Linked DNA regions of Cricetulus griseus. Each later gene encodes a partner of the first gene's protein in a complex. Links are inferred from orthologs where the notes say so. Each region holds a gene or a part of one and is shown in the gene's direction. Other genes may lie near its edges.

What was found.
Region 2: Gtf2h4 (region 1) and Polr2b share a complex: the UniProt entries of both Homo sapiens proteins name them as parts of the TBP-based Pol II pre-initiation complex. The link is inferred for Cricetulus griseus from reciprocal best matches to the Homo sapiens genes GTF2H4 and POLR2B.
Region 3: Gtf2h4 (region 1) and Gtf2a1 share a complex: the UniProt entries of both Homo sapiens proteins name them as parts of the TBP-based Pol II pre-initiation complex. The link is inferred for Cricetulus griseus from reciprocal best matches to the Homo sapiens genes GTF2H4 and GTF2A1.

The regions. Positions count from the first base shown.
Region 1 is NW_023276806.1:229,573,593-229,583,485, reverse strand, and holds Gtf2h4 (general transcription factor IIH subunit 4), read left to right. Parts: upstream 1-3,134; 5' UTR 3,135-3,303; intron 3,304-3,990; 5' UTR 3,991-3,993; coding exon 3,994-4,133; intron 4,134-4,374; coding exon 4,375-4,479; intron 4,480-5,057; coding exon 5,058-5,189; intron 5,190-5,379; coding exon 5,380-5,476; intron 5,477-5,560; coding exon 5,561-5,649; intron 5,650-5,812; coding exon 5,813-5,924; intron 5,925-6,056; coding exon 6,057-6,125; intron 6,126-6,287; coding exon 6,288-6,371; intron 6,372-6,571; coding exon 6,572-6,704; intron 6,705-6,876; coding exon 6,877-7,007; intron 7,008-7,172; coding exon 7,173-7,220; intron 7,221-7,365; coding exon 7,366-7,444; intron 7,445-7,902; coding exon 7,903-8,075; 3' UTR 8,076-8,196; downstream 8,197-9,893. Other genes in the region: Vars2 (valine--tRNA ligase, mitochondrial), read left to right, coding at 8,602-8,802, 9,115-9,196, 9,283-9,383, 9,774-9,893. UniProt on the Homo sapiens protein: Component of the general transcription and DNA repair factor IIH (TFIIH) core complex, which is involved in general and transcription-coupled nucleotide excision repair (NER) of damaged DNA and, when complexed to CAK, in RNA transcription by RNA polymerase II.
Region 2 is NW_023276807.1:143,689,155-143,699,106, forward strand, and holds the start of Polr2b (DNA-directed RNA polymerase II subunit RPB2), read left to right. Parts: upstream 1-5,083; 5' UTR 5,084-5,258; coding exon 5,259-5,277; intron 5,278-9,362; coding exon 9,363-9,435; intron 9,436-9,952. Other genes in the region: Noa1 (nitric oxide-associated protein 1), read right to left, coding at 827-1,032, 2,135-2,299, 3,531-4,671. UniProt on the Homo sapiens protein: Catalytic core component of RNA polymerase II (Pol II), a DNA-dependent RNA polymerase which synthesizes mRNA precursors and many functional non-coding RNAs using the four ribonucleoside triphosphates as substrates.
Region 3 is NC_048598.1:113,313,224-113,322,677, forward strand, and holds the start of Gtf2a1 (transcription initiation factor IIA subunit 1), read left to right. Parts: upstream 1-241; 5' UTR 242-662; coding exon 663-692; intron 693-3,529; coding exon 3,530-3,631; intron 3,632-9,454. UniProt on the Homo sapiens protein: TFIIA is a component of the transcription machinery of RNA polymerase II and plays an important role in transcriptional activation. TFIIA in a complex with TBP mediates transcriptional activity.

The DNA.
Region 1 (9,893 bases):
TGATTTTTTTTTTCAAACAAAGACAGGGTTTCTATGTAGTTTTTTGGAGCCTATCAGGCTGGCCTTGAACTCACAGAGATCCGCCTGCCTCTGCCTCCTGAGTGCTGGGATTAAAGGCGTGCACCACCAATGCTCGGCTTCTGATTGATTTTTTAAGAACAGAACCTTGTCCAAGGCTGGCTGTCCTGTTCAGCACACTCTCCTGCGTACAATACTGTCCTTTCCGTTTCCCCGAGGCCACAGACCTCCCCCTGGCATGTGGCCTCTGCAGCGTGCTGTTGTCCTGGAACAGTGTTCTCTGTTTTTTGTTTTTTTTTCTTGTGTTGCCAGCCCTTCAACAATCTCATCTGGACAGGTCAGCTCTCCAGTGTTGCTCTTCAGCCCATGGATCTCTTCTTAGTTCCCTTGCATGCCCTATTTCACATGTATTTATGTGTGTGGGTCCCTACGACATGTCTCTCCTCGGCTGTGAGATTGTAAGCTGCAAAACGGCCAATTTAAGGAACACAGGGCTTAATTCATTTAAAAAATTTCAAGGGCTAACATAAAAAGTATAGAGTTAGGGAAGCATCATTAGGTTCTCTCTCTGTCTCTCTGTCTCTCTCTCTCTAAGACAGATTGAAGATCTCAGTCTGTGCTCCGTGTAGCCTCCTCTCCTGAATTCTGCAAAGCAGAGTCAAGTTGAACCACCCCCATGGCTTTCACCTTATCCATCGAGGCAGGGTTTCCCATTCACCCCGAGTTCTCTGATAGGGATAGTTTTCTAGACAGCTGCTTTGAGAATCCCATCTCATACAGGCGGGTGGCTACTCCCAATATTTTATGTGGGTTGTGGGGGCTGAACTCTGGTTCTCTTACACTTGCATGGCTAGTGCCTTTGGTCACTTAGTCACCTTCCCAGCCTACCTTCCATGTATGTATATATCAAAGTTTCTTGTGGGCTGTTCAAGCCACTTAGTAATTCGCATTTCTCCCTCTGCTGATGAGTAGGTAGGGTGTAGTTCAAGGCCTTAGTATACATATGACCCCTCCTTTATCAGGGTTGCCCAGCCTTCCACTTTGTTGGGATGATTTGTGTTATATCTAACCAGCTGCTGACACAGACTGGTGAGCCTTTGCCATTGGGTTCAGGAAGTGTCTTTGTTATCTCTGCATCTAATCTATTCTATGGATGAAGATTTCAGCATGATACAATTCTGTATTTCTTTTTTAGGTTTTTCGAGACAGGGTTTCTCCGTAAAACATCATTGGCTATTCTGGAACTTGCTTTTGTAGACTAGGCTGGCATCAAACTCACAGAGATCTGCCTGTGTTTGCCTCATGTGTTTTGGGTTTAAAGACATATGCCAAGACACACGACTTGAATGACGCAATTCTAATGGTGGCTTTACTGGGTCAAAGAATAATCATATTAAAATTGCTTGTAGAAGCTGGGGTGGCAATGCTTGCCTGTAATCTCAGCTCTCCAGAAATGGAGGCAGTAAGATCAGAAGTTTGCAGCTTGCCGGGTTTTTGGTTTTGTTTCTTTAGACAGATTCTCTTTACGGCTGTCTTGCAACTCTCTATGTAGGACAGCCTGGCCTTGAATTTACAGAAATCTGCATGCTTCTGCCTCCTGAGTGCTGGGATTAAAGTTGTGCTCCACCACCACTCCTGACCCTCCTGCCTCCACCTATCCACCCAGTGCCGGATTACAGGCTCATAACGCCACACTTAGCTTTGGTTTTTTTTCTTCCTTTTCTTTTCTTTTTTTAAAAATACTTTATTTAACTTTATTTTATGTGCATTGGTGTAAGGATACAAGATCCCCTGGTACTGGAGTTACAGACAGGTGTGAGCTGTCATGTGGGTGCTCGGAATAGAACCCGGATCCCCTGGAAGAGCAGACACTGCTCTTAACCACTAAGCCATCTCTCCAGCCCCCTTTTCTTTTCTTTAAGATTTTATTGTTTCTTATCTAGCCGGGCGTTGGTGGCACACTTCTTTAATCTCAGCACTCAGGAGGAAGAGGCAGGTGGATCTCTGTGAGTTTGTGGCCAGCCTGGTCTCCAGAGTGAATGCCAGGATAGGCTCCAAAGCTACACAGAGAGACCCTGTCTCAAAAAAAAAAAAAAGATTTTATTGTTTCTTTCAGTTGCTTTTGTTCTTTAGCTTATTTGTTTGTTTGTTTATTTATTTATTTATTTATTTATTTTTTAAAAAAAGGTTTTCTCTGTAGCTTTAAAGCTTGTCCCAGAACTCACTCAGTAGACCAGGCTGGCCTCCAACTCACAGAAATCCATCCACCTGTCTCTGCCTCCTGAGTGCTGGGATTAAAGGCATGCGCCACCACCGCCCAGCTCAGATTTCTTATTCTTGTTGGGTTTGGTATTCTGTGATATAAGAATAACAGAATTTAAACTGGGCAGTGGTGGCACCGCCTTTAATCCCAGCACTTGAGAGGCAGAGGCAGGTGGATCTGAGTTCGAGGCCAGCCTGGTCTACAGAACGAGTTCCAGGACATCCAGGGTTACACAGAGAAACCCAGGGATACACAGAAACAAAAAGCAAACACCAGAATTTGCCCCATAAGAATTGGGGAAACTATAGTTGACCTTAGTTGATGCCTTTCATTAACTGTCCTTTCTCCCAGTAAATTCATAAATAAGAGTAAACCGCAGCTTTCTTTTTAAAATTGTAATGGAGTCTTCTAACTTCTTGGGAGTTGGAAGGGCCGTGGAGGAAGAGATTAAGACTGAGCATTTAGTAGCCAAATAAGGGCGAACTGGACTGTGTTAATCCCTGCCTCGTGCAAATGCTGTGCATGAGAAATATCAGAGGTCTAGAAACCCAGGTTTGAGGTCTCTAAATCTAACGCACCACCCCTGAGCAGCCGTGGGTGCGCCTCCTGTGTGGGCGGGACAGAGAGACTCGCTTTAGTTGCTAGGGAAAGAGAGATGCGGAACCAAATTATCTGTCTTAGGGTGTTCTTGGGGGAATCCAATGAAAAGCCAGCTTCTCTCAGTTGGTCTTCCATGCTGTGCCTTTCGGGAATTGTAGTCAAACCTTCCTTGCGTTGCTCCGATGGAGTCGAGGAGAGGACTACAATTCCCACCATGCCAAGCGGCAGGCGAGTGCATCACTTATTCTCATCCCCTTTACTCTTCACACTTAACCCTGCTCTCCCTTCCCATTGGACTGGTTTTTGCCTGGCTCCTGTCTGTGAAAGACTTCCTGGTTCTCCCACCGTTTTTTCTCGTCTTTTTATTTCCAGAAGCCAATGCGAGACATTGGCTCTGATTAAGCGACGGCTCGTGACCCGGGGTACGCAAGGGAGATCCGAGCGGTAGGGGCTGTGAGAGGGCGTGAAGTTGGCGTGAAAGGAAAGCCAGGGGGAAGTGCGGAGCTTGCACCGCGTGGTCTCAGTGAGAAGGGTGAAGCTGGCTTGGAGGGAAAGGGATAGAAAGGGATTTAGATTGGTGAGCATGGAGGTAATTTATAGCCCTGTCTTGACAGATTAGGAACTTGTAGACTGATCCGACCAGGAGGGTGGAGGAGAGAAAGAGAAGGCTGTGTTCAAATTAGCATCTTTGTCACTGCTTAGATGAATCTGGGGCGTCGTTGATAATGCAAAAACAATTTTGCAAGTATGGAACAATAAATGATGTTGTCCCTTGTCCACACTGGTGAGGATCTGGATTTGGTCCTCAGGACCGTACACAAAGAAGGAAAATCCCACCAGTTGGAGACTGAGAGAAGATTGAACTTTAGAAGAGAAGCGGGATGAAAGGCCAGCTATGTTACGTTCCTGCAATCCCAGAAAGTTCAAAGTGATCCTGAGGGGCTTGATGAAGGAGCAGGAACATGCGGGGTTTGGGAGCAATAGGTGACGAGTGGTACCAGAGAGGAAAGGTATAGAACTGATGGGTTAGAGTGGACCGGATAGGTCTGGAGTCAGAGTGACACTGGCCTGGATTGTGGGGGTGTACCTCTGACTTGTGTACCTCTCAGGTGATGGAGATCACCCCTGCAAGGGGTGGACTGAACCGAGCACACCTACAATGCAGGAATCTACAGGAGTTCCTAGGGGGCCTGAGCCCCGGGGTGCTTGACCGCTTGTATGGGCACCCAGCCACTTGCCTGGCTGTCTTCAGGTGAGGAGCCCTTCAAAGCGAGGACCGTGGTTTGGAGACTGTAACGGGCTCTGCAGAGTGGAGTTAGTTACTCATGGGGAGAGGCTTAGCCTAGTGTGACTACCAGCCTGTTAGAGATTACTCCAAAGTGTGGCAATCTAAAACGAGGTGGGAGATGGGGTGAGATGCCTGAGAGGCAAAAGAGGGCAGAGGTGCAGGCGTGAGGCAGCTTCTGGTAACATTTGGCCTCTGACCTTTACAGGGAGCTCCCTTCTTTGGCTAAGAATTGGGTGATGCGGATGCTTTTTCTGGAGCAGCCTTTGCCACAGGCTGCGGTGGCCCTGTGGGTGAAGAAAGAGTTCAGCAAGTGAGTCCCAAGTACAGCCTGCTGCCCGGTGGCTGCATTCTCAGACTGCACATCCACGACTCACACAGGATCTAGGATCAAACCTAGGGCGTCTCAACAGTCTCTGCTCTACACAGGGAACACCCCCCCCCCCAGAGTATACTTGCAGTGTTTCCCCTTTTAGAGAGTTGTGATTTTCTGTAACTAACTAGTTGTATGCTAACAAAAAAAAAATTGAAAAGACAAAAGAAAATGAAAAAACAGCTCCAGAAGTTGGGAGGTAGAGACAGGAAGATCAGAAATTCAAGGGCTACATGGTAAGTTTGAGGCTGTCTGAGACTTCATAGGACCCTTTTGAAAGAAAAAGAAAAAAAAAAAAAAAAAGGAGGGGGATTGACTTAGAAAACAAAACAGAGAGAAACAATAATAAAAACAACGAACTAGGCTCCATTTAGCATTGTAGTACAGGCATCTGATATAAGAAAACACAGCTGCACCCTGGAACACTGTTCCAAGGACCACCAGTTTAGGTAGAAATGGAGCCCCCTGGAGGTCTCCTTTCTGCTTGTGACCTGCCCCTCACCTCTGCTTCTGTCCAGGGCTCAGGAGGAAAGCACAGGACTGCTCAGTGGTCTCCGAATTTGGCACACCCAGCTGCTCCCTGGTGGACTCCAGGGCCTCATCCTCAATCCCATCTTCCGCCAGAACCTCCGAATCGCCCTTCTGGGTGGGTATGTAGTTTCCCTCTCTTCCTGAGCTAGGCCAGGGGAACTGCTGACTACAGGGATGGGGGGGGGGAGCTCCTTCAAAAGTGCATTGGACCAGGTGTAGGTGTAGGGTGTAGAAAGTGTCCCCTTCTCATGGCCTGTGGGGAAGCAGGAAGCAGACAGGGCTCCTTACTCCTGCCCATTCTGGCCACAGGGGCAAGGCCTGGTCTGATGACACAAGTCAGCTGGGACCAGACAAGCATGCCCGGGACGTCCCCTCACTTGACAAGTATGCTGAGGAGCGTTGGGAGGTGAGGATCCGGCCCCTGTGTGCCTCCGCTGGGCCCCCATTCCCGGGAGCCCTTGAGACCCCTGTCTGATCCTTTCTTCTCTAGGTGGTCCTGCACTTCATGGTGGGCTCTCCCAGTGCAGCTGTCAGCCAGGACCTGGCTCAGCTCCTCAGCCAGGCTGGGCTCATGAAAAGGTGAGGAGGGGAGGGCACAGCCACTCGGGTCTCAAATAAAGTGGGTGCCTGGGGTTAGGAGGGAGTGAAGGGAGTTGGGTAGGGAAAGAGGTTTGAATAGGTGTAACCAGAAACGGGTAGCCCTTCTGTGCATGTCGCTACCGTCGCCTCTCTCCATTTCTAGTGCTGAACCTGGAGAGCCACCTTGTATCACTTCTGCTGGCTTCCAGTTCCTGCTGCTGGACACGTCGGCCCAGCTCTGGTACTTCATGCTGCAGTATCTGCAGACCGCCCAGGTACGAGCCAGGGCCTAGGGCAGTGTGCCCGATCTTCTCAGGTCCCACTGAGTCACAACCACCCCAGACTCTGCCCGTCACTGCCTCATCCCCTCTCTCATGTCTCCTTTTGCTCTGCCCCTTTCTCCTCAGAGTCGGGGCATGGACCTGGTAGAGATTCTCTCTTTCCTCTTCCAGCTCAGCTTCTCTACTTTGGGCAAGGTGAGTAGGGGGGTGGAGGACAGGCAGGTAAAGAGACGTCATGGAGAGATAGAATGATCACAGAACTACCTGAGAAGGCAAAAAAAGGGGGAGGGGTGCAGGGGGCTGGGCGGGGAGTGGGAGGACGAGTCACAGCCCCCAGCTGGCCATCTCTTCCCCCAGGACTACTCTGTAGAGGGTATGAGTGATTCTTTGTTGAACTTCCTACAACACCTGCGTGAGTTCGGGCTTGTTTTCCAGAGGAAGGTACGCACACCCAGCCACCTGGCTTTGAGGAGAGTGGGGTGTTGGGGTGCAGCAGAAAGCCCTTGCCAGGCCCGAGTGCTTGGGTCATTTGAGGGGGGGAGTTAAAGGTTGGTGGTTTTGCACTGGGGGATCTGATGTCTAAGAGGAAGCTGTCAGGATGGTGACCTGAGAGAGGACTGTATTTCCCCGTGTCCTTCCAGAGGAAGTCCCGGCGTTACTACCCCACACGCCTGGCCATCAATCTCTCATCCGGTGTCTCTGGGGCCGGGGGCAGTGTGCATCAGCCAGGCTTCATTGTCGTGGAGACCAATTACCGACTGTATGCCTATACTGGTGAGGCTGGAGGTTATGGCCGTGTGTGTGTGTGTGTGTGTGTGTGTGTGTGTGTGTGTGTGTGTGTGTGTGTGGTTTAGGAGCCCTCTGGTATCTCTTCTAACACCTGAGGGCAGGGCTAGAGGAAGGCAGGCATGGGCAGCCTCCTCACGGCTCTTCACCCCTGGGCCAGAGTCGGAGCTACAGATTGCGCTCATCGCACTTTTCTCTGAGATGCTCTACCGGTTCCCCAACATGGTGGTGGCACAGGTGACCCGGGAGAGTGTGCAGCAGGCCATCGCCAGCGGCATCACAGCCCAGCAGGTATCCCTACTTGAAGTGGAGGTCAAGGTGGGAGGAGGTACCCCCGCCATGGGAGCATAGCCTCAGGTCTGTCAGGTCCCCGTGTCTAGGCAAATACAGGAGATGCTGTCGCAGTGGCATTCGGTGACTGCCCTGATGGCTTTCTGCATCCTTGTGTCTTCCCAGATCATCCATTTCCTAAGGACCAGGGCCCATCCGGTGATGCTCAAACAGGTATGGATGGGTACCAGGATGCTGGAGGCTGGCAGCCTGGGCACCCAGCAAGAAGAGGATGGGTGAGAGCGGGTCAGCCAACCCACAGAGACTGCTTTAGGCACTTGCCCTGGGTCCTATAGCTCCGCCCCTTGTCCGCCCGCAGACTCCTGTGCTGCCTCCCACCATTACAGACCAGATCCGGCTGTGGGAGCTGGAAAGGGACAGACTTCGTTTCACGGAAGGTGAGTGGCCTCTGCTGACCTCCTAATCTTGGTCACTGACTAAAGAGGTAAGGTCAGCAACTTGGCCGCGATGAGTGAGAAGGGTCTTGTGCATTTTTTATTCCCTTCCTCCACCCCCACCCCGAGAGGGGGAGAGAAAAGCCCGTCCTTTACTGTGATATATCGGTAGCAGGAACTATGTCCCAAATCGGTGCGGTTTGGATCAAACTAGCCAGGTGAGGGTAGGAGGCAGGGAAATCCAGTCATCTCCCCGGGTAGGTTTGCATGGTTTTTTCTTGTGGTATTCTGTTGTCTTTTCGAACGTCTGGATGCCACGGGTGTTAAGGTTATCCACAGTGATCCGTAGAGAATCCGTTCTTAAAACTGTGGCCTGCTGCCCCAGCGGAGACGCCGCCCAGAGGGGAGGGGCCATGGCCACCGCAGCCCCTCTCACCTCCTGCCCGCCCACCCGACCCCAGGCGTCCTGTATAACCAGTTCCTGTCGCAAGTGGACTTTGAACTGCTGCTGGCCCACGCGCGGGAGCTGGGCGTGCTGGTGTTCGAGAACTCGGCCAAGCGGCTGATGGTGGTGACGCCGGCCGGGCACAGCGACGTCAAGCGCTTTTGGAAGCGGCAGAAGCACAGCTCCTGAGCCGGACCGGCGGACGGGCGAGCGAGCGAGCGAGCGGGCTGGCAGCTTCCCAACTCAGGCGTATTTTGTTTACACACCGGGACATTTCTTGTTTAATAAAATTAACGGAAAAAAAAAATAAGCGGTTCCAGACACCTGCACGCGTTTTCCCATCCGAGGCTGTGGGACCCGGGGAGCCAGTGTCTTGTGCGCACGCGCCGGCGTGTTCCCGCCCCCATGCGCGTGCGCACAGACGGCGGCGTCCCTGCTCACACGCAGGAAGGATCCGCCGCGGAGGTCCAGTTAGGGCCGTGTCGTGGAGGTTTGCGGGGTTCCCTGGTTCCCGATCCCCGGCCTTGTCTTCCGCGTCAGCGCGGGGGTCTCAGTGGCTGCAGAAGGCTGTTGACACCATGCGCTCCGCCCCTAGGCGGGAGGACACAGAGCAGGGGATCCAGCCGGTGGGAGTGAGGCAGCGTGACCTCCCGCACCCCGCGTCCTCCTGAAGCCGACCCCGACCCCGACCCCGACTGCTTCCCAAACACTCCCGATGCCTCATTTACCTCTGTCCCCTCTCCGGCCACCGCTCTGGGCGCTGAGGCCCGCCCGGGGGCTCTGCAAGTCCCAGCAACTTTGTACCCAGCCAGAGCTCCAAGGCTCACCCCTCGCGCGGAGGAACCGTGAAGCCAAACAGAAGCGCCTGCGGGAGAAGCAGGCGGCCCTGGAGGCCGGGCTAGCTGAGAGGAGCAAGGTCAGGGGTCAGCCCTTGGGTCTTCAAGACTTGGGAAGGGGCTGAAGGAGACTGGTGTACTGGGAATTGCAAAGCACACACACACATTTCCGCCTTCCTACAGTGTGTACTGGGAATTGCAAAACACGCACACACACACACACACACACAAACGCACACACACACACACACACATTTCCGCCTTCCTACAGTGTGTACTGGGAATTGCAAAACACGCACACACACACACAAACGCACACACACACACACACAAACGCACACACACACACACACAAACGCACACGCACACACACCATTTCCGCCTTCCTACAGTCACCTGCAGTGCCCTCGAAAGCCTGGAGTCACAAGGAGGTAGTATTGTATGAAATCCCCACCGAGCCAGGTGAAAAGAAAGGTACGGGTTTTTTGTTTTTGTTTTATTTTATTGCTCTTTGGCCTGCTGAAATGCAGTTCAGTAGTGGATCTCTTGTGTTTGTACAGATGTTTCTGGGCCCCTGCCTCCTGCTTACAGTCCCCGATATGTTGAGGCGGCCTGGTACCAGTGGTGGGTGCGAGAGGGCTTCTTCAAGCCAGAGTATCAGGTTAGTGCTGGGCCTATGAGGTCGCTAGGACCGATAAGCAGCCCCCCCAACGTGGTGGGCATGGGTCAGCTTCACAGCCGACCTTTCTTTTGTCCCCTGGCTTCTTCAGGGGTTTTGCTTTTCCCATGTTGGATTTTCTTTGAAATTCTATCATCATCATCATCATCATCATCACTTGGTTCTTTGAGACAGAGTCTCTGTGTAGACCAGGTTGTGCTCCAAATCAAGGAGATCCACCTGCCTCTGCCTCCCAAGTGTGGGATTCAAGGTGTTAACTACCACACCTGGCCTCCTTGAAATTCTTTTTGCCCCGAGGGCGCCAGAGGGTGCTGTTCCTCCTCGGGTAACAAGCAGTCCTGTCTGTGCCTCTGACTAACTCATTCCTTGTAGGCACGGCTACCCCACGCTACAGGGGAGACCTTCTCCATCTGCATCCCACCCCCCAACGTCACCGGCTCGCTGCACATCGGCCACGCTCTCACAGTGGCCATAGAGGACGCGCTTGTGCGC
Region 2 (9,952 bases), on another chromosome or scaffold:
TGAGACATTGTAATTTGAGTAAAAGGATGGATAATGGCAAGATGGGTGGAATTAACCCTATTCTAAAAATATGGTTACTTGACCATTTAGAATTTAAAGTATTGCAAGATGTGTCAAGAGAAATACAAACCATGTTTGTTCCACACAGCTTTGAAGAACAATGGGTACCGGTTACTGAGAGACTTTCAGTGTAACACAAAGAGCAGGCAAAAAATAGCTGGATACCCTGGGAGTACACCTCACACTGCTCTGATTAAGTTGTTACAACTCACTTCAGCTCAAACTATATGACATGATGAATGACATATTTTCAAGGGAATTCAAGCATAGACTAGGGAGCTGAATAGTAATATTTATAATTTCTAACCTTAAAGTATAGGAACCTATAACATGTCTCCCTAAGGTAATAACCACAATGTTAATACTGTCTGTCGTTTACCTACAGAGACGTCAACTAAATGAAAACAGAATTTGATGGAATATAGATTTATCCTTGAACTACTTTTATAAAGAAACCAGAATCAAATTTTAAAATGGAAGCCCACACCTTTACTTGTTTTAGGCCAGTTAAGACAGTACATCTACAATTATAGTATTTTTTTTTCTTCTTCTTCTTCTTCTTCTTTTTTTTTTTTTTTTTTTTCCGAGACAGGGTTTTCTCTGTGTAGCTTTGGAGCCTATCCTGGCACTCGCTCTGGAGACCAGGCTGGCTTCGAACTCACAGAGATCTATCTGCCTGCCTCTGCCTCTCGAGTGCTGGGATTAAAGGCGTGCACCACCAATGCCCGGCTATAGTACGTATTTCTAAAAGAAACTAAATACATACACAGTTTTCTTTTGTAATCCCAGGGGTGTCATAAAACCAGTGGGCATCTTTCACATCCTCTGGGGTCAGTTCTACTTGTTTGGTACACTGGTGCACGGCCACAACAGGTTCATTTCCCATGTCAAAGGCCAATGAGTCAGCATCAAATTCAAAGGGAACGTCTTCCGTCTGTTCTGTGGAGTGCGAGAATGTTCTTCCAACTCTTCCTAGAACAAATTAAACCGAGTTCTCAGACATCCCTCCAATGCTTTGATTCTGGGGCATACGAAACATTTTGAGATGGGTTCTCTGTACATAGTTCAAGACGGAGTTAAACTTGTGATTTTTCTATAGTCAGAGGCGACAGATCTCTCTCTCTCTCTCTCTCTCTCTCACACACACACACACACACACACTTGTATTTTGGCAAAGATCTCATGTAGTCCAGTCTTGCCTCAAAATCACCATGGAACTGAGTTTTTTTTTTTTTTTTTTTAGAATATATATATGTGTGTGTTTTCTTTTTTTTTTAAAACATTTTATTTATTATTTATTTATTATGCATACAACATTCTGCTTCCATGTATATCTGCACACACCATAAGAGGGCACCAGATCTCATAACGGATGGTTGTGAGCCACCATGTGGTTGCTGGGAATTGAACTCAGACCCTTGGAAGAGCAGTTGGTGCTCTTAACCTCTGAGCCATCTCTCCAGGCCTGGAACTGAGGTTTTTTAAAACTCCCAAGTATTGGGATTACAGGTGAGTACCTGACACCCTGAAGACCTCTCTACCTCAGAGATAGGGTCTCATTATGTAGCCCTGGCTGTCCTGGAACTCTCTATGAGACCAGAATGGCCTTGAACTCAGAGATCCACTTGCTTCTGCCTCCCAAGTGCTGGGACTAAAGGTAAGGCCCTGAAGCCACCTTTTATGATTGCTTTAAATAAGCCACTAAAGTTACGTGTATAAATATGAAACTGTGGCTATGATGATGCTTTTGTCGTCTTTGTGGAAGATAACACGAGTCATTCTCTTGCACGGTCAGTTGTGTTTCAGACAAATAGTGTTAGAAATCCTTCTTTCCCATTAATGGACTCAGAAGAGAGATACAAAGGAGATGGACAAGTTAGCTAAAGACCTTTACTGCCTCTGCTAGTTTGGGTTTCCAAGCAACAGTAACCTTTCCTACAAAAAGCCTATATTCCAGAACAGGGAAGGAAGTCTCTTCCTGTAAAAAAATGGTTAGTCCCAATGGCCGCACTGCAAGTCTAAACAACTTTATCATGGAACCGGTAAGACTTTTCCTAAGTTGGAAGATGCATACCTATCTTGTAAGCATGCTTTTTCAGTTGATTGAGCTGGCTTTGTTCTTCCTCACTAAGATCTTCTTCTGCTTTGGTTGCCTCTTCTTTAAGCCTTTTTTGTCTTCTGAACATTCTGTAGGGAGTTGGGTTGCAAATTGGAAACTTCAGGAGGTTTAATGTAGTACCTGAAATACCAAGAATAAGGGTTTCAAAAAAAGAATATGAAAGAAGAAAAGCAAATGTTTCTGGTTTATTTCATTTAGCCTTCATGACAACCATTATGTAATTATTTCTACTTTACAAACGAGGAAATAGGCCTAGTGACTGGTTCACAGGCTAACTCGGAATTTGGGTACAAATTTTGCAGGTGTGTTTTACCCCCGATTTCACCATTTATCCTCCAGTACATCTAGGGTTGTACGACTGACCATAGGCAGTTTTAAGTATGAAAGACCAAAACTCTGGTTTCAAGGGGACACATTTCTGTCAAGCTAATTCCTAAGACTGTAACTCTCCATATACATACGTTTCCCCCTAGCTTCTTCCTTCAGAGAGGCTCCTGAAATGCATCCTCAGGCTCTGCCTGCCCAGCGTTCTGATGACAGACAGGCAGATGGAAACACCACGCCAAGCTATTTGTTTCTTTATCTCAGAACACTAACATTTCTTCTCAAGAAATTTCCACGTCATAGCACATCAACTCTTTCATATGTTTAGTCTAACATTCCAAGAATAAATACATTCAAGGGTGAAGAAAGAAGGGTCTTAGGAGTAAGAAGAACACAGATGCTTTTTTTTTCTTTTAAATAGACAGGGGCTTATGGATCTACCTCACAATAGCCTCCAGCTATGTAGCCAAGAATGGTTTGGTGTTCTCCGGATCCACTTGTCTCCACTTCCCAAGTGCTGGGGACACAAGGGCTTGCCACCACACCTCGTTTGTGCTGTACTGCAGACTAACTCAGGCTTCCTGCATGATAGTCAAGCACTTTAGCAACCAAGCTTTATCCCCAGCCCCTCTAGAAATATTTTTTCTTTTTTTTTTAAAGAGTTTATTTATTTATTATGTATACAACATCCTGCTTCCATGTATATCTGCACACCAGAAAAGGGCACCAGGTCTCATAACAGATGGTTGTGAGCCACCATGTGGTTGCTGGAAATTGAACTCAGGACCTCTGGAAGAACAGTCGTTGCTCTTAACCTCTGAGCCATCTCTCCAGCCCTAGGAACATTTCTATTAGAAAATCAACCGTATTGAATTTCTAAGCACTAAACTGTCGCAAGAGGTATGAGCAAAGTGGGGAGAGAAGAAATTTAAAGGGAGAGCCCCAGGTAGTTCAAGGTGGACATTTAAGGGTAGATGTAGTACTAGGTGCCTGGGTCAAGTCTGATTTCTCAACAGCGGGGCCTCACCTGGCCAGGGGGAGATGGTGGCCCTGTCGATGGCTTCGGAGCCCTTGGCGGTGCAGTAATCAGACTCCAGGAGTGTGTTAAAGAGAGTGGACTTGCCGGCATTCGTGGTGCCCACCAGGTAGACGTCGCCGCGGTAGCGCCAGGAGCGCTGAAGTGCAGAGATCAGTTCTTCAACTCCGTAGCCGGTCTTGGCGCTGATCAACCGGACGTCCTTGATCACGGTGCTGGACCTGGTCGACGGATTCGGATTCTTTTTCTCGTCCCGAGGGTCATCGCCGGTGGGGTACTGCGGTCCTCGGTGGCCAGGTGCCATCACGAGCCCAGCGCGGATGCAGTCGTCCCACAGCCGCTTCCGCAGCCGCTGCAAGTAGCCGGGTGCGTCTTGGGGCAGCAGGTCCACTTTGTTCCCCAGCACGAAGACCTGCTTGGGGCCCACCAGCTTGGGCAGGTCGGGCAGCAGGGCGTCCGGCAGGTCGAGCAGGTCCACCATATAGAGCACCAGAGCGGGTTCCGGCCGCCGCAGCGCGGCGCTCACCAGCTCCAGGTACTGCTCTCGACTCACCCGCAGGCGCAGGGCACGTCGATGGTGCACCAGGAGCCAGCAGCGTTGGCACACGGTCCGCGCCCGTCCGCCGTCCGCCTGGGTCACACCGCGGAACTTCTCCTCCGTCAGGTAGCCGGGCAGGCTGGGGTGCTGGCAGTGCAGCTCGGCCCCGCAGCCCGAGCAGTAGATGCCGCTGGGTGGCACCGTGGCTTCTGGAAGCTCGGGGACCTGCAGACTCCGGAGACCCGCCCGCAGCTTCCGCTGAAGCCGCTCCTCCCGCCGCTGCAACCTCTGTCGCTCCTCATCCTGCTGCCGCTGATGCAACTCCCGCAACTCTCTCAGCAGTTCCTCAGGGTCCCGCTCCGGGACGTACTCCGGGAACAGAAAGCGCTCCTCCGTGTCGGGGCCTTCTTCATAGTCCTCGGTCGCCGTGGAGCCTGGAGGCAGACGGCGGCCCAGGGATGATGGGCTCTGGGAGAAAGCGGCTTCGCGCTTCCCCGCCAGGAGCCGCCGGGCAGGGCCATGGCACGCTGCGGCAGGCGCCGGGCCCCGCAGGAACCCGCACAGCAGCCTGCAAGCCTGCAAGCCAGGCAGCATGCGGACGGCCGTGAGGTGGGCGGAGCCTCGGGCGCGCACCCGTGCGCGTGTCCGGAAATCAGGGACGAGAGGCGAGGGAACTGTCCAACGGCGTGACTAACCCTGGCTTTCTCGCGATGAAGGCTCCGAGACCCGAGAGTTCACCCCGCTGTGCAAAGGCGCGCACTAGAGCTGGGTGGGCAGGAGATGATCGTGGGTGCTCTGCCTACACCCAGAGCTTTTCTTTCATAAATCCCCTTTACGCCAATCAAGCGTCATCTGTGCAACAACTCTACAAGAACACGCAACAAGAAACTACGTTAACCGGGTCCAACTTCCGGCCTAAAGAGCGGTCCTCAGCGGTAGCCGAGCGACCCAAAATCTGCACTTGCGCAGTTCAAGCCCCCGCCAGGCTCGGCCGGCCGTTTGCGCAGGCGCAGATCTCACACGATTCCCCCCCCCCGCTCCCCCGCCCCACTTAGACGCCGAGGATTCTGGGAACGCCGGAGACGGAAATTGCTTGTTCTTACTCTCCAGAGTTTGCCGCTGCAGTTTTCGCCTCCAGCTTTGTGAATTCGAGTTAAGAGGACCAGAAACCTTTGGCCAAGATGTATGACGCCGACGAGGGTAGGTGACCACGTGAGACACGCCTCGCGGTAGCCTCTTAGGCGGTACGGCGGGGGAACCTGCAGGGATGGAGGACCTGCGCCAGCAACCCCATCCCGGCCGGGACGCGCGCCCCGCAGCCCTGTTCTCACGCGCTGGACTTGCTGGCTGTGTAGGCTCGGGAAACCTAGGATTCACGTTCCCGGGTCAGGTCGATTGCTCCCTGCGTGGCCTCCTGTTAAACCTGCTGTCACCTTCCAGGAACGACAGTGTGCAAGTGCTTATTAACGTTCGGGTGTTTTGACGTTGATTGGTTTCCTTTGCACCCCAGTCAACTTGCTGAATAGCTAGGTATTTTTTTTTTTTTTAATACTGTCACAGAGGATTGGATCCAGGTCCTGCACGTACTCTACTCTTGAGCCATTATTCCTAGTCCCGGGTAGCTCAATTTTCGACCACGTCCTGTTATACCCTGGAAATATTAAGGATAAAGAATGAGTTCTGGGTTGACATTCCTTCACACTGTCTTCAGTTAAAGTAAATGCCTTAAAAGATGGCCTTTTAGTAGTCTCTTACCATGAGATGACATAGTCCTTGCTGTGTATGTATTTCATTTCACAAGGACATGCCTAGTCACTTTTCATAGGCACACTTCAGGTTTTCTTTTTTTGTTTTTCGAGACAGGTTTGGAACTCAGTCAGAGATCCTCCTACTTCTGCCTCCTGAATGCTGTAATTAAATGAGCCACCACCGCTGGGCCTCATGTTGTATTTTTTTTTTTAAAGCTCCCTCTTTACTTCTGTGTTCCAGCTTCCAACTTTATGGCCATCCTACTCAGACACAACAAAAGCTTCAACTTTTAAAATTTCTTAAACGTCTCAATTGTATTCATATCTCATGGAACTCTATTAAAATCGTTATATTCTTTTAAATTACTCTTACTTGAAGGAAATGCAGAAACTTTAAGACTTTTATAGCATCTATTTATTTTGTATGTATGTATCAGGGTGCACACATGGAGCATACCCTATAGATGCTGGGTTTGAACTCAGATCCTCAGCTATGTGACAATCATCTTTACCCATTGAGCCATTTCACCAGCCCTAAGAATGTTTCTAGTTTCCATCTCAGGACCTCTGTGACCCATTATAATCTGATTTTGCTAATGCTCCTATGTTAAAACAGCTTTTTCTGAGTGGTCTGTGATTTCTTACTTGATAAATTAGATAGATGCTTCAAGACTTACTTAGATCAGTTGTTGTAGCTCACAGAAGGCCAAATGTGGAGGATTATCTTTAAATTGGAGACCCAAAACCAACCAACCAGATAAAACATCATTCACCCACCCAACTCTCACCTATTTCTGTGCTATTCAAAATTGTTCACGATTTCCTCTTGAAAACTACTCATCTACTCTGCTACATCACTTCCACTTGACTGTTACCGTTTCTTTTACTCATTACTGTTGTTTACATTCTCCCTGGGTGATCTAATCCAGTCTTTTTTTTTTTTTTTTTTTTTTTCAAGACAGGGTTCTCTGTGTAGCTTTGGAGCCTATTCTGGTACACAGTCTGTAGACTAGGCTGGCCTCGAACTCACAGAGATCCGCTTGTCTCTGCCTCCCGAGTGCTGGGATTAAAGGCATATGCCACCAACGCCTGGCGATCTAATCCATTATTCATACTTGAATTTACTGGATGACTTGAATACATTTTTGTTTATTTTTTTCTTTTCCCTTTTGGTTTTTCGAGACAGGGTTTCTCTGTCCTAGCTGTCCTGGAACTAGCTCTGTAGACTTGGCTGGCTTCCAACTCTCAGAGATCCCCTACCTCTGCCTCCTAAGTGCTAGGATTAAAGGCTTGTGCCACCACTGCCCAACCAAATTTTTGTTTCTTTAGACATGGTCTTGACTATGTGCATTACATAAGCTGGCATTGAACTACTGGCAGTTCTCTTACCTCAGTCTCTCATGTGCTGGGATTATAGGCATGAGCTAATATGCCCTGCTGTATTTCCAATTTAGTTGTCCTGCATATCTATCTCTTACTAGATAACTGGGAGATCTGTTAGGTTCCCTAAACTCTACTGTTGACTCAACTCACTTTATCCGTATCCATTTTTCTTACACACACACACACACACACACACACACACACACACACACACACACAGAGGAAATATATCTGATACTGTTTGAGAGTGTGTCTCAAAAAATGTGAATGTGTGTGCACTGCTTGTCTATATGTGTATGTCCTGTCTCAGCCTTCCCTGTGCTGTGATTACAGGTGTGTGCCTGGCTTTTTTACATGGGTGCTGGAGCTCTGAACTCAGTCTTCATGCTTGCACAGTAAAGCGCTTTGCCATCTGAGCTATCTCCCCAGTACCCTACATTGCCTTTTCTTGATTAGATTATACTATGCTATCTTCATTATGATGTCTTTTGGACAGGAGCCATCTTCACTCCTCCCATATTCACTGACTCATTTTTGCCTGGTCTACTCCTGTTTTCAGTTTTTGGGATGACTTATTTTCTTGGGGTCCTGGTTAGGAATGTTCATATTACTCTGTCTTTGTTGATTTCAACTTGTTTGTATTTCCTCAATAGATGATAATCTCTGTAATAGTGCAACCGTCTTTATCCTGTAAAGGATGACGACTTCTAGTGCCTGGGCCATAGTAAATGCTCATAGTCAATAAATGTTTGATGAATGAATTAATGTTCTTCTTTAATTCATTTTCTTATTTTCCTTTACGTGATTTGTTTTTTCTTTCTTGAGGCAGCTTCTTACTATGCATTCTTAGTTGGCCTGTAGCATGCTATGAAGGCAGGGCTGGTATCCAACTCCCAGACATCTATCTGTTTGCCTCTGTCCCCCAAGTGCTGAGACTAAAGGCATATGCCACCACACACAGCTTTACATGACTCTTAAACAGAAATGTCCCTTAATATCCTGACTTTAGTCTTCTTTCTCTGCATATACTTTCCTTATTTTTTGCTAATTTGCTGATGACTCCAACTTTCCATGTAGTATGGAATTTTTCCCCTTGGTGTCTGGGATTGACTGCAGGGCCTTGTCCATGCTATGCAACACTAGCACTGGGCCACATCTCCAGTCTAGTGTGAAAGTTTTTTTTTGAGTATCATGTTCCTTTTAAAAGTATCTAAAGAGTAAAATACGCTCTACATAAATATGTAGGGCCACCCTTATCATTTCCCCCCTTTTTTCTTCTTTGAATTTACTTCTACATGGCAGTGATATTAAATACTTCAGTACTTACAAAGCTAGAAACCACTGCTGATTTACATACCATTGTTTTTTCCATGTCATTCTAGAACATTCCAGAAGCATGTATTAAAATTACTTTGAATGTATATCAGATTTCTGAATAGAAAGCTCTTAAGCTTTATAGGCTAATTGTATAGTTCAAACTAAAAAAATAAAGTACAACAAACATTCTATCATAAATTTTTAAGGATACATTTTTTTTTAAATTAATGTTGCTGTACAATAGTAATTACTAATCCTTACCTATAGGGAGAGGGATAAAACAAATTTCGTTACCTAAAAAAATTTTCATGGTGGTTGGAGAGATGGTTTAGCAGTTAAGAGTGCTTGCTCCTGGAGTCTAGAAGTCCCAGGTTGGGTTCTCAGCACACATATTAGGCAACTTACAGTTCCTTATAACTCCAGCTCAACGGTGTCTGATGCTCTCTTTTGGCCTCCGTAGACACCTGCACGCATGTGCATGCATGCACACACATATAATTAAAAATAAATGTTTATGAAGGGCTGGGATATAGCTTAGTGTTAGAGCTCTTGCCCAGCATGTGTGAGACCATAGATTTAATTCCCAGCACCTCATAAAACAAACAGACAAAAAAAGATCATGAGATTTGTTGGGAGAATATTAGGAGTTTTTTAGCTACAGTTCAGGGCTTCAGAGCAAACAAGTCAGAACTGCATTGCATTTTCTGACTACATCATAAAACCATGTGACCTCATTCTAACAGCATCCTTTATTTACTGGAGAGTTGAAAATTACCTAAATTCAAGGAGAGGATGTGGCATCTTATTGCCAGTGAGCAGAGTGTTTTGTTTTTGCAGATATGCAATATGATGAGGATGATGATGAAATCACTCCAGATTTGTGGCAAGAAGCATGCTGGATTGTGATCAGGTAACTTTAGACCAAACAGAACATGTTTTAGTAGATACTATAAGATGTGAGGGATGTCCTGTTGTTACTCTGTTCCTTATAGGTAGATCTCAGCCTTCTCTGTGCTTACTTAATGTACTTACCTTGTATTAGTTACTTACAGGGTTGCTTTGTTTTATCCAGACAGTACTGTGTGCAGCTTTGGATACTATAGATTGGGCTGGCTTTCAGTTTGCAGCACTCTTGCTTCAGCCTCCTGAGTGCTGTGATTGTAGGTGTGCATTGCCATATCTGGCTTATATTTATTTATTTAAAATATTTCCATCTTAGAGAAAAGCTAAGGAATTAATTTATGTTCGTCATTGGAACCCCTAAATATTTATCTTATGCTGCTGCTGCTGCTGCTGCTGCTGCTTCTTCTTCTTCTTCTTCTTCTTCTTCTTCTTCTTCTTCTTCTTCTTCTTCTTCTTCTTCTTCTTCTTCTTCTTCTTTCTTCTTCTTCTTCTTCTTCTTCTTCTTCTTCTTCTTCTTCTTCTTC
Region 3 (9,454 bases), on another chromosome or scaffold:
GGGCGGGGCGGAGGGAAAAGAAAAAAAAAAAGGCGGCGGCTCGCCTTCTTTTACTCTAGTCCCCGCGGCCCCGCCCACCGGCCCCAGCCCCCGGGGCGAGCGACGCCCCGGCGCGCGTGCGCACGCGGCTCTCGCGGTGTCTCGCGCTCGGCCCCGCCCCCCGCTGCCCCGCCCTTTCCGCCCCTCCGCCTCCGCCCTGTGTCTCGGCGGCAGCGGCGGCGGCGGCGGCGGCTCGCGCAGCTTGTTGGCTCGCTATATAAAGGGGAGAAGCAGGCGGACCGGACGGCTGGAGCTGCAGCCGGTGGCGGCAGCGGCGGCGGCGGCGGCGCTGGGAGCGGTGACCGGTGTTGGTTTCCCTCCGCGGCGCCGAGTGGGGAGCGGGCGACGCCCCCTAACCCCCGAGGGGTCGTGGCTTCTTCTTTTTTTTTTTTTTTTTCTTTTCCTGAGGGCGATTCTCGAGGCTTTTAGCCGCGGGAGGAGTTGCCCCCCCTCCTCCTGCTCTCCCGCCTCTTGACTCCCTCAGGATCGGTTTTGTTGAACAAATTTTCGCCCCACTCTTGCGGGTGACTTGGGTCACCCTCCGGGTCTCTTTTTAAGTTTTTTTTTTTAATTTTTTTTTTTTTTTTAAATCTCGTTCCCTCTTGTTTGTGTTGTGTGTGGAAATGGCGAACTCGGCAAACACAAACACCGTGGTAAGGACGTGGTGCGGTGGCCGGCGGGGGCTGCGAAGGTTCCGGCGGCAGGCAACGGCCGGGGCGGGCGGGGGCGGGCCGGGCGAGGCGGCGCTCCCCACCCGGTTCCCTCCGTCCTCCTCCGCCTCTGCCGCTGCCGCCGCGGGCCTGACCGGGCGGGGGGCGCCGAGGGCTGGCGGGCGGAGGGCGGCGGGGCCGGGAGCGCCGCGGGGGCGGGCCACGCAGGCCGTTGGGCCCTGGCTGCCGACCCCGGGGCGAGGACAGGTGGGCGGCGACCCCCACGCGGGGCCCGGACCCGGCCAGCCCCCGAGCGGAGCGGCCGTGGGTCGGTCGATCCCCCCCCCACGAGCCTGGGGAGCCAGCCGCTCGGACGCTGCCAAGTTCGGCGTGCCTTCGGGGGCTCTCTGGAGGTGGTGCTTTGGAAAGCCTGCGCTGGGGCCGATTTTGCTAATCCTACCCCCCAAAAAAAAACCAGAGGAAAAAAAAAATGAAGGTTGGAAAGCACTTATCTCGGTTCCTCCCCAGTGGGTAAAATGGCGAAGGGGAAGCAAAAAGAAAAAAAAAAAGAAAAAGAAAAAAAACCCGTGGTACCTACGACTAGCAAAAGCACCAGAACAAACAAAGCCTTACAGTGACTGGCCCAAGTGTCCACGCATTCGCCTTGAAATTTGCCTACTTCTTCCCGCCGCTCCCTTTTTTGGTTCCTTGCGATCCACGTAGGTTTGCAAAAAGCAGTCACATAAAGAAATAACCTTTTCAATAGTCACCAACGCAGTGTGATCACTAGGCCACCCCCAACTTGATTTTTTTTAATTATGAAAATAAAACACGTGTTTTTGTTTTATTCTTTTGTTTCTTTTTTTTTTTAATTTTTTTGCCCGGTCCCAAACGCCGCAGAGCAGCTCGCTGCTGCCCGACACCGTACCGTTGGCGACTCGGGTAGATCCATCATGGCTGCGGCCGCTTACCCTGCATTTCAGTGCCTGCGCCTTGTGGTCCTCCTCCCTTTGGCTGCCCTGTTTATATAGAGCCATTGCCGCTCTCTAATATAGACTCTGCCAGGATGGGAAGGTGCTTTTCAGGCCTACGTCACCGCCTCTCCATTTAAACACCAGATCCGGCTTTAAATAGTGAGAGCTGCTGAGCGCGGGGCTGGGAGGTGCGTGCTCCCGAGCGAGAGGCGCCCGCATGCGGAGCTCAATTTATTTCTAGGTTCCCTTCACGCCGAAATTTCGCTTCCGAGCCGGGAAGCTGCTTTCTCGAATCCGCGAGTGTTATTACTGTAACAGCTAGGATATGCCGCCTTTGTTTGTAGTGGGAAGTAGGTCAGAATTGCTGCAGCGTTTTGGCCTTAAAAAAACAAAACAAAACAAACAAAAACCCTTTATATAGAGAGTTTAATGGTAAACCATTTTAGGTGACATAGGGTGATTGTTCTTTTTATCTTCCTTGAAGAGGTGCCTTCAACATTCTCGGCTTATATATATATGTATATGTATATGTATTATTTAAAATGTTTCTCCCGCAGAGGACTTGGGCTTGGCAGTGTTTTGTTCATCAGGTATCCAGGAAATGTTAGAAATCACAGCTTGTAACATTTCATCGTGTTTTCTTAATACAAATCCCCAAGGCACAAAGCTTTTCAAAGAAATAGTGACAGACGCTTACGTGTGAGATCTTATGCCCACAATACATTGAAGTGGAGAGGCATGCCCTGAATTGGATTTTAAGAATTAAAGGTCAGGTGGTGGTTTTAATTGTACCAGGTTAACATGGGGTCCAGCATAAAAATCCACCCCATTTACTTAATACTGTGCTAGAAAATTAGTATTTCCTAAAAGGAACCCTTCAGTGAATCACTGATGATGCCACATGTGGCCTCTCATTTGCTGGTTTCAAAGTTTGGGATACTGTGTTTTGAAAGGACAGATCTAAATGACTTTTATGCAATAAAGACAAAAACTGGCTCAATTTTAGAATTGAAGCATTTCCCTTTTTTCTTTCAACCACAGTGAAACCCGGTTTGTACCTAAGTGTTTGAATCTCTAAGGAGAAGATTTTGGGGGAACTGATTTCTGAAACATGAAAACATCTGTTCTCTTGGAAAAATGTCCTACCAAGTTAAAATTAATATGCCCCGTGTACAGTTTAGTGGAGTGGCTTGAAGGGCTGGGGACAGACAGACAGACAGACAGACAGACAGACAGACAGACACACACACACACACACACACACACAAGTTTTGTATCACTAAATACTGATGAGGCTGCTGGGGATCAGCAGGAACTGACTAGTGAACAAAAAGTTCCCCATGTATGAAATTGGAAAGGGTATGAGATCAGGCAGGGGTTAAACCAAGCATGGGTAGTAGGGACCAGACATGATCATAAATATTAGTCATGAGGTTCCATATTTTGCTCACAGTTAAGGAAATTATAACTGGAATCTGTATAGACTGCCTGTGTATAAAGAACTTTGGTTTATGAACTGCATTGCATAGCTTTGTATTACTATAAGATGTAGTTATCAAATCTAGTTTAATGAGGCCAAATAATGTTTTATGTATTTATGTATTTAAGGATTGGATATTTAATTAAGGATTTTTTCCGGGGTGGGGGGGTTTCAAGGAAGGGTTTGTCTGTGGCTTTGGAGGCTGTCCTGGAACTTGCTCTTGTAGACCAGGCTGGTCTCGAACTCACAGAGATCCACCTGCCTCTGCCTCACCAGTGCTGGGATTAAAGGCATGGGCCACCACTGCCCGGCCTAATTAAGGATTTCTTAAAGCCTGCTAAACTTTCAAAATCAGTCTTTTATTGAATCTTATTTTTCCTTTAAAGCCTAAATTGTACAGATCTGTGATTGAAGATGTTATTAATGATGTTCGAGACATCTTTCTGGACGATGGAGTGGATGAACAAGTCCTGATGGAACTGAAAACTGTGAGTTTTGTTTGTCTCTTTAGAAAAACACATTTCCGTAGTCATTAGTAAGTCACTTTTCTATAGGATGACTGATGTTAAGCAGAGATGCTGTAGTCTAGTAAACAGTACTGATTTTAAACCCCAGCTGTGCCAACTATTCTTCCTCTGACTGTGGGCAGAGAAATTGCATTTCAGTTTCTTTCCCTTTAAGATAGGAATTGGTAATAAAGACTTCTTAGATGGTTGTTCTCAGGATTAAATGTGATAAATCAGAGAATACCTATCAAAATGTCTAATAATAGCTTTACTTATTCACAGGTAGTGTTTTATGGTCCAATTACTTGGCATGTCAGTAACAGTTTTTTACATTTTTTTGTAGTCTTAACTCTATTTGTATTCTACAATTTGTTTATATTAGAGGGATTGAATAAATGCTTGATAAAAGAATTTAGGTATTAGAGTCAAGTCCTTTGTGTGCCAAATGCTTTATTTGTTATTTATTAAACACTGAGAGCTAGTTTTTCTCTTAAATTGATGCAGAAATACTTAGATTTTTAAAATGTCATTTGTGGGGACTGAAGGGATGGTCCAGTCTCTGGCTGTTCTTCCCAGAGGAACAGGGTTCAGTTCACATGGTGGCTTACAACAGTGTGCAACTACAGTTCCAGGAGATGCCCTCTTCTGGCCTTCACAGGCATCAGGGCACAAGTGGTACACAAACATTCATGCAGGCAAAACACTTGAAAAAGATAGCCATTGTGTTTTCCTGGGATAGAATGACATGAAACTGTGGAGTATTTTTCTACTGGTTGAACTAAATACCCAAGTTTGAAAATTTCATAGTTATTTATTCTTTAATTTAAAAGTTGTATCAAAACAAAGCAAAACAAACAAACAAACAAAACAATGGTTGGGGAAATGACTCATTGAGTGGTTGCTCTTAAAATTAAGAGGACCTGGGTTCAGATCTCCAGCACCACATAAAAGCCAGGCATGGCCATATGTGCCCGTCACCCAGTAGTTGGGGGATGGAGACATCGGGATCCCAGGAGCTCACTGGCTGGCCTGAAACTTGGAGCTCCAGGTTTTAGTGAGAGACCTGTCCCTAGGCAAAGGTGGAAAGTGATGGGAGGAAAACTTTACATCCTCTGAAGGCTCCACATGCATGCATACAAAAGTTGTCCAGTGAGAAGCCAGTGGTCAAGTTTCAATGAGATGAGTAATGCTAACTGGAGAGAAATGTAAATTTATTAATGCTTAAGGGTGCAAGTATTAGAATACCTCCTCTGAAGCAGGAGTTGGAACAGCATGGAAAAGTTTAAAGTACCTAAGTTCCACGAAGAGTAGGTAAACAGCATGATCCTTAGTTTACCAGGGAGTGTTTTACACTTTTCTGTAATGACTGGTTGTTCTTACACTTCTGTGACTTTATGTAGAAGATAAAATTTCCAAAGGTGTGGAAATGAGCCCTAAAGACTTTAATTGATTTGTAGTAGGGGTCAATCCAGGATCTTTATTTGCTCTGATTTTGTAAGTTACAGTCTGGAGAATTCAGTGTTCCAACTGGTTCCCATAACTGTAAGGCATTCTGTTCAGAGAAACTGAGTTGTCTTGGAGAAATTAAATAATTTTATTTTCATGTTTCTTACATTTGAAAGTGACTCACTCAATTTTTAATTTTCAGTTTCTACCATAATACCTGGCATGTGCAGCTGGCACTCAGTTAAAAATTTTCTGAACTGGTTAATGGCAGATGTGGCTTCAGAATCTTAACAATGCTATTTTTGTTGCTGTTAAGTGGGGCATACTCTCATGTCTTGGGTTGTAATAAGAGTTAAAGCTGTTGGACCAGAATGAACTTAATTCTCTGCACTAAATTTTTTCAGACCCTCATTAGCATTTTCAGAAGGTGCCCTAGATTTAACAGTTGGACACTGGCCCTGTCCAGGGATGGCTTTCTACTTTGATGGAAATGGTCTGTGTCTGTCGTCTGCTGCATGGTAGTCATTAGCCACATGTGGCTGTTAGGCATTTGGAATGTGATTAGAGGAACCGGCAATACATTTTTTATTAATTTTACTTAATTTAAAGTTAAATGACTGCATGTGGCTAGTGATTACTGCATTGAGCTATACAGATTTTCTTGTTAACAAGGTTAACATCCATTGTATATTTTATGATTTATAATGGACTAATGGACTTTGATTTTGTACTATCCTTTCTCCTTTTAAACTGTTTAACAGATTATCAGACTGTTGTTAAGGCAATCAGATACAGTGGTAAATTAGATTATGCACTGAGGTGCATGGTGAGAAAGCCTGTAATTTAAAGTTTAACTAAATACTGCAAGTAATGTCATGATTTAAAATGAAAAAAAAAAATCAGCTGGGTATTGGTGGCTCATGCCTTTAATCCCAACACTCTCGGGAGGCAGAGGCAGGTGGATCTCTGTGAGTTCGAGACCAGCCTGGTCTACAAGAGCTAGTAACAGGACAGCATCCAAAGCCACAGAGAAACCCAGTCTTGAAAAACCAAAAAAAAAAAAAAAAAAAAATCAGCCCACCTATTGGGATCATTTCCAAATTGTTAAAGAGCTCACTTTGATGTGTGAACTATGGGAGGTAGGAGAGACAGAAGATATAGTTGATAAACTTGTATTTAAGTGGATTGTGGATCGGCAAGTAAATGGGTGGGAGTAACACTAGAAATTTTTGTCAAAGTGAACAATAGCAACTCAGGGGAAAGTAAGAAAGAGAATCTGCACAAATTTGAGGCCAACCTAGTCTGCATAGTGCTAGGTCAGTTAGGGCTGCATAGTGAGACTGTCTAAAACAGAAACAAAGCAAAACAAACAAAAACCTATCAAACCAAAGAACCTGTAAAATCAAAACCCTGTTCTTTCTCTGCCTGTCTGCCTGCCTTCCTTCCTTCCTTTCTTCTTTCTTTCTTTCTTCCTCCCCTCCCATCCCTTCCCCCAATAAAACTTTCCACAAAACAACAACAACAAAAAAATAAAAACCTAAAGTAAATGATTAGTAAATGATTAAAAACAATTTGTCAGACCTGCTTATATCTAAATAGCAAGGACAACTTGAAATATAAACAAAACTTTCCCCCCCTGCCATTGCTGGAGATAAAACATAGAGCCTTGTGCATTTCTGGCCAATGTTCTGTCTCCGAGCCACATACCTATGTATGCCTCTGCTGATAAAATAGATTCCTCAGTTAGAGAGTCTGAAAATTCAGGTTATATGTGTCTCTAGTTTAGTGCCTCAGCTTTGGTGCTTTTGACATACACGTTGACATGATTGGTTGGCTGTTGCATATAGGATGTTAGCAGAGAAGTGACTTCTGCTCACTGGATGCCGGTAGCACTTTTTGTTGTGTTCAGAAATGTCTGTATTGCTAATCTCCCTAAGAAAGTAGTAGCAAAATCACCCCAAATTGAGAAGCAGTTTTCTAAACATACCCTAATAACCCCTAGATAAGGCGATCTACTCATATAAGTGTCTAGACTATAAATTGAATAATTACCTACTCTTTGACAAGAGCATTGCTGGCTAGTAGTAGTGGAAATGTGAACCATCTGTGTGCTAAGCTAACAGGCGTACTTCCACATTTCTACCACCTTTAGCTAAGTCAAACCGAGAACTACCCGTTCTCCAGCAGGATGATGCTGGGCTAGAAATTTTAAACAACTCTCCTGGTTCCACAAAATTCCTAGCTTCTGGATAAAGTGTACAACTCATTTCGTTTCAGAGCTTCCAAACACTGTTAGGGAACTTAGCTTCCCCAAGTAGCCAATGAAATAGAAAGTAGATGAAGTTAACAGTGTGGTTAGATCAGAAGCGTGGATTAGAGCCAGCATTAGGGAGAGACAGCATTAGGGAGAGGCCAGTGAAGTGCCCAGGGTACAGTATTGAGAGACACTGAAACGAGATTTCTGGGTGGTAATTACCCTATTTTTGCCTTCTGTTGTTTGTTGATCTTGAATAACTTGCCTGACTTCTTGTTCTTCAGGTTGTTCTTCTCTAAAGAAGCAGGTGATAATGTCTACGCATGTACTTACTGTAGAATACTAAATAAGCTTCAGTTATTAAACCCAGTAGCACATACAGTTATATACCTCTGTCTTTTGTGAACAGAAATTCAATTTTCATGTCAGTTTTAGATACCTAGGCAAAAAATGCTGAAGTGTGGGTATCCTGGAATTAATAGTTTACTTGTGGGGAAGGGAGTAAATAGAAATAAAGTAAAAGGGCTCCTCCAATTTTCTAAGCATAAGAAATATTTAACAATTTAGTATTGCTAATTTCATCACTATTAATATAGTTACTATTGTCAAAACAATATAACCTTGTTTTAACAGCTGATATTTAGAACCTGGAACTTTGTGATACAGTTGAAATTGTACTGAAGTGAAATTGAAGGGCTGGAGAGATGGCTCAGCAGTTAAGAGCATTTGCTGCTTACAGAGAACCTGGGTTCAATTTCCAGTGTCCACATGGAGGCTCCCAATCATCCATAACTCCCATTTTCCAGGAAATTCAATGCTTTCTGACTTCTGTGGATATCAGATACAGACATACATGCAGGCAAAACAGTTGTACACAAATCTTTTTTTTTTTTTAAAAAATGAAGATAAGATATAAACATTGAATAAATCAAATTTTACTTGAAGGTATAAGCTTGGTGCTTAGTTATATGGTATTATTTTTGTATTTGTTAAGTTACTAGAGCACTTAACCATGATAGCTAAGGCCTGATTCCTTGATTGGCTAGTTCAACCCCTGCAAAACTTTTGGTACTATGTGGGATCATGTTCATTTAGGAGGCAAGAACTAGGAATGTTGCGTTTCCCGTGGGACCATCCCGAATGATACAGACATACTCTGCCTAAAATGCCAGTAGAATGCTATACAGAAAATAGAAAATAATAGATTATGTTTCCAATTTTGTTTGATGTTAATGCTAAGTAGCTGTTAAATTCTTAGTTATCTGTAAGGTCCTGAATAAAGTAGTCTCCTCATGAAGGAGTTCATTAAAAAATAGAACTATTTCTAATATGCATAGGGGGTGACTGCAATATCCTCCCCAATTTTGGAGCCCTGGCTGGCCTTGAACTCACAGATCCACCTACCTCTATTTCCCAAGTGCTATGGATTAAAGACATGGCACCACCATGCCCAGCCTAAGTGACTGCTCTTCTTTGAGGCAATGGGACTCTGATGTTTCATTTTAGAAGACTGCAGAGTAAAAGCAATGGAATAGTCTCAGGTTATTTCACTGAAAGTAGTTATTACTATAAGAAATAAAAGTACAAGTTAGAGTAGCAGCCAGTCTATGGCAAATAGGACACCCTAAGCTTCTACTCCACTAAATGGGGTGGGTAATTGTACAGGACCAAGCTGCTGTTTTTTAAAAGAAGTTCCCCTTATCTATGATTATGTGTTTTTTGCTTCCATGTATGGCTGCACCATTTGTGTGCTTTGGAGCTTGTGGAGGCTGGAAAAGGGCATTGGGTCCCTAGGAACTAGGGTTATAGACTATTGGGAGATGCCATATGGGTGCTGGGAATTGAGCCTGGGTCCTGGAATAGCAGAAGGGCATCTAACTACTGATCTTTCTCTCCAACCCCTGATCTTATTTTTTGAGGTTTTGGTTACCTTCTGTGAGAAAATTAATCCTGTTAACTGTGCAGAATATAATGTTTAAGTTCGGTGCACATTGTATAACAAATAAACAATTTCTTTTGTTGCATTTCCCTTTCCATTTGGTTTTCATAAAAAATTCAATATTGACTTTTTTTGACCCACTAATGGGTTTCAATCCTCATTGAAG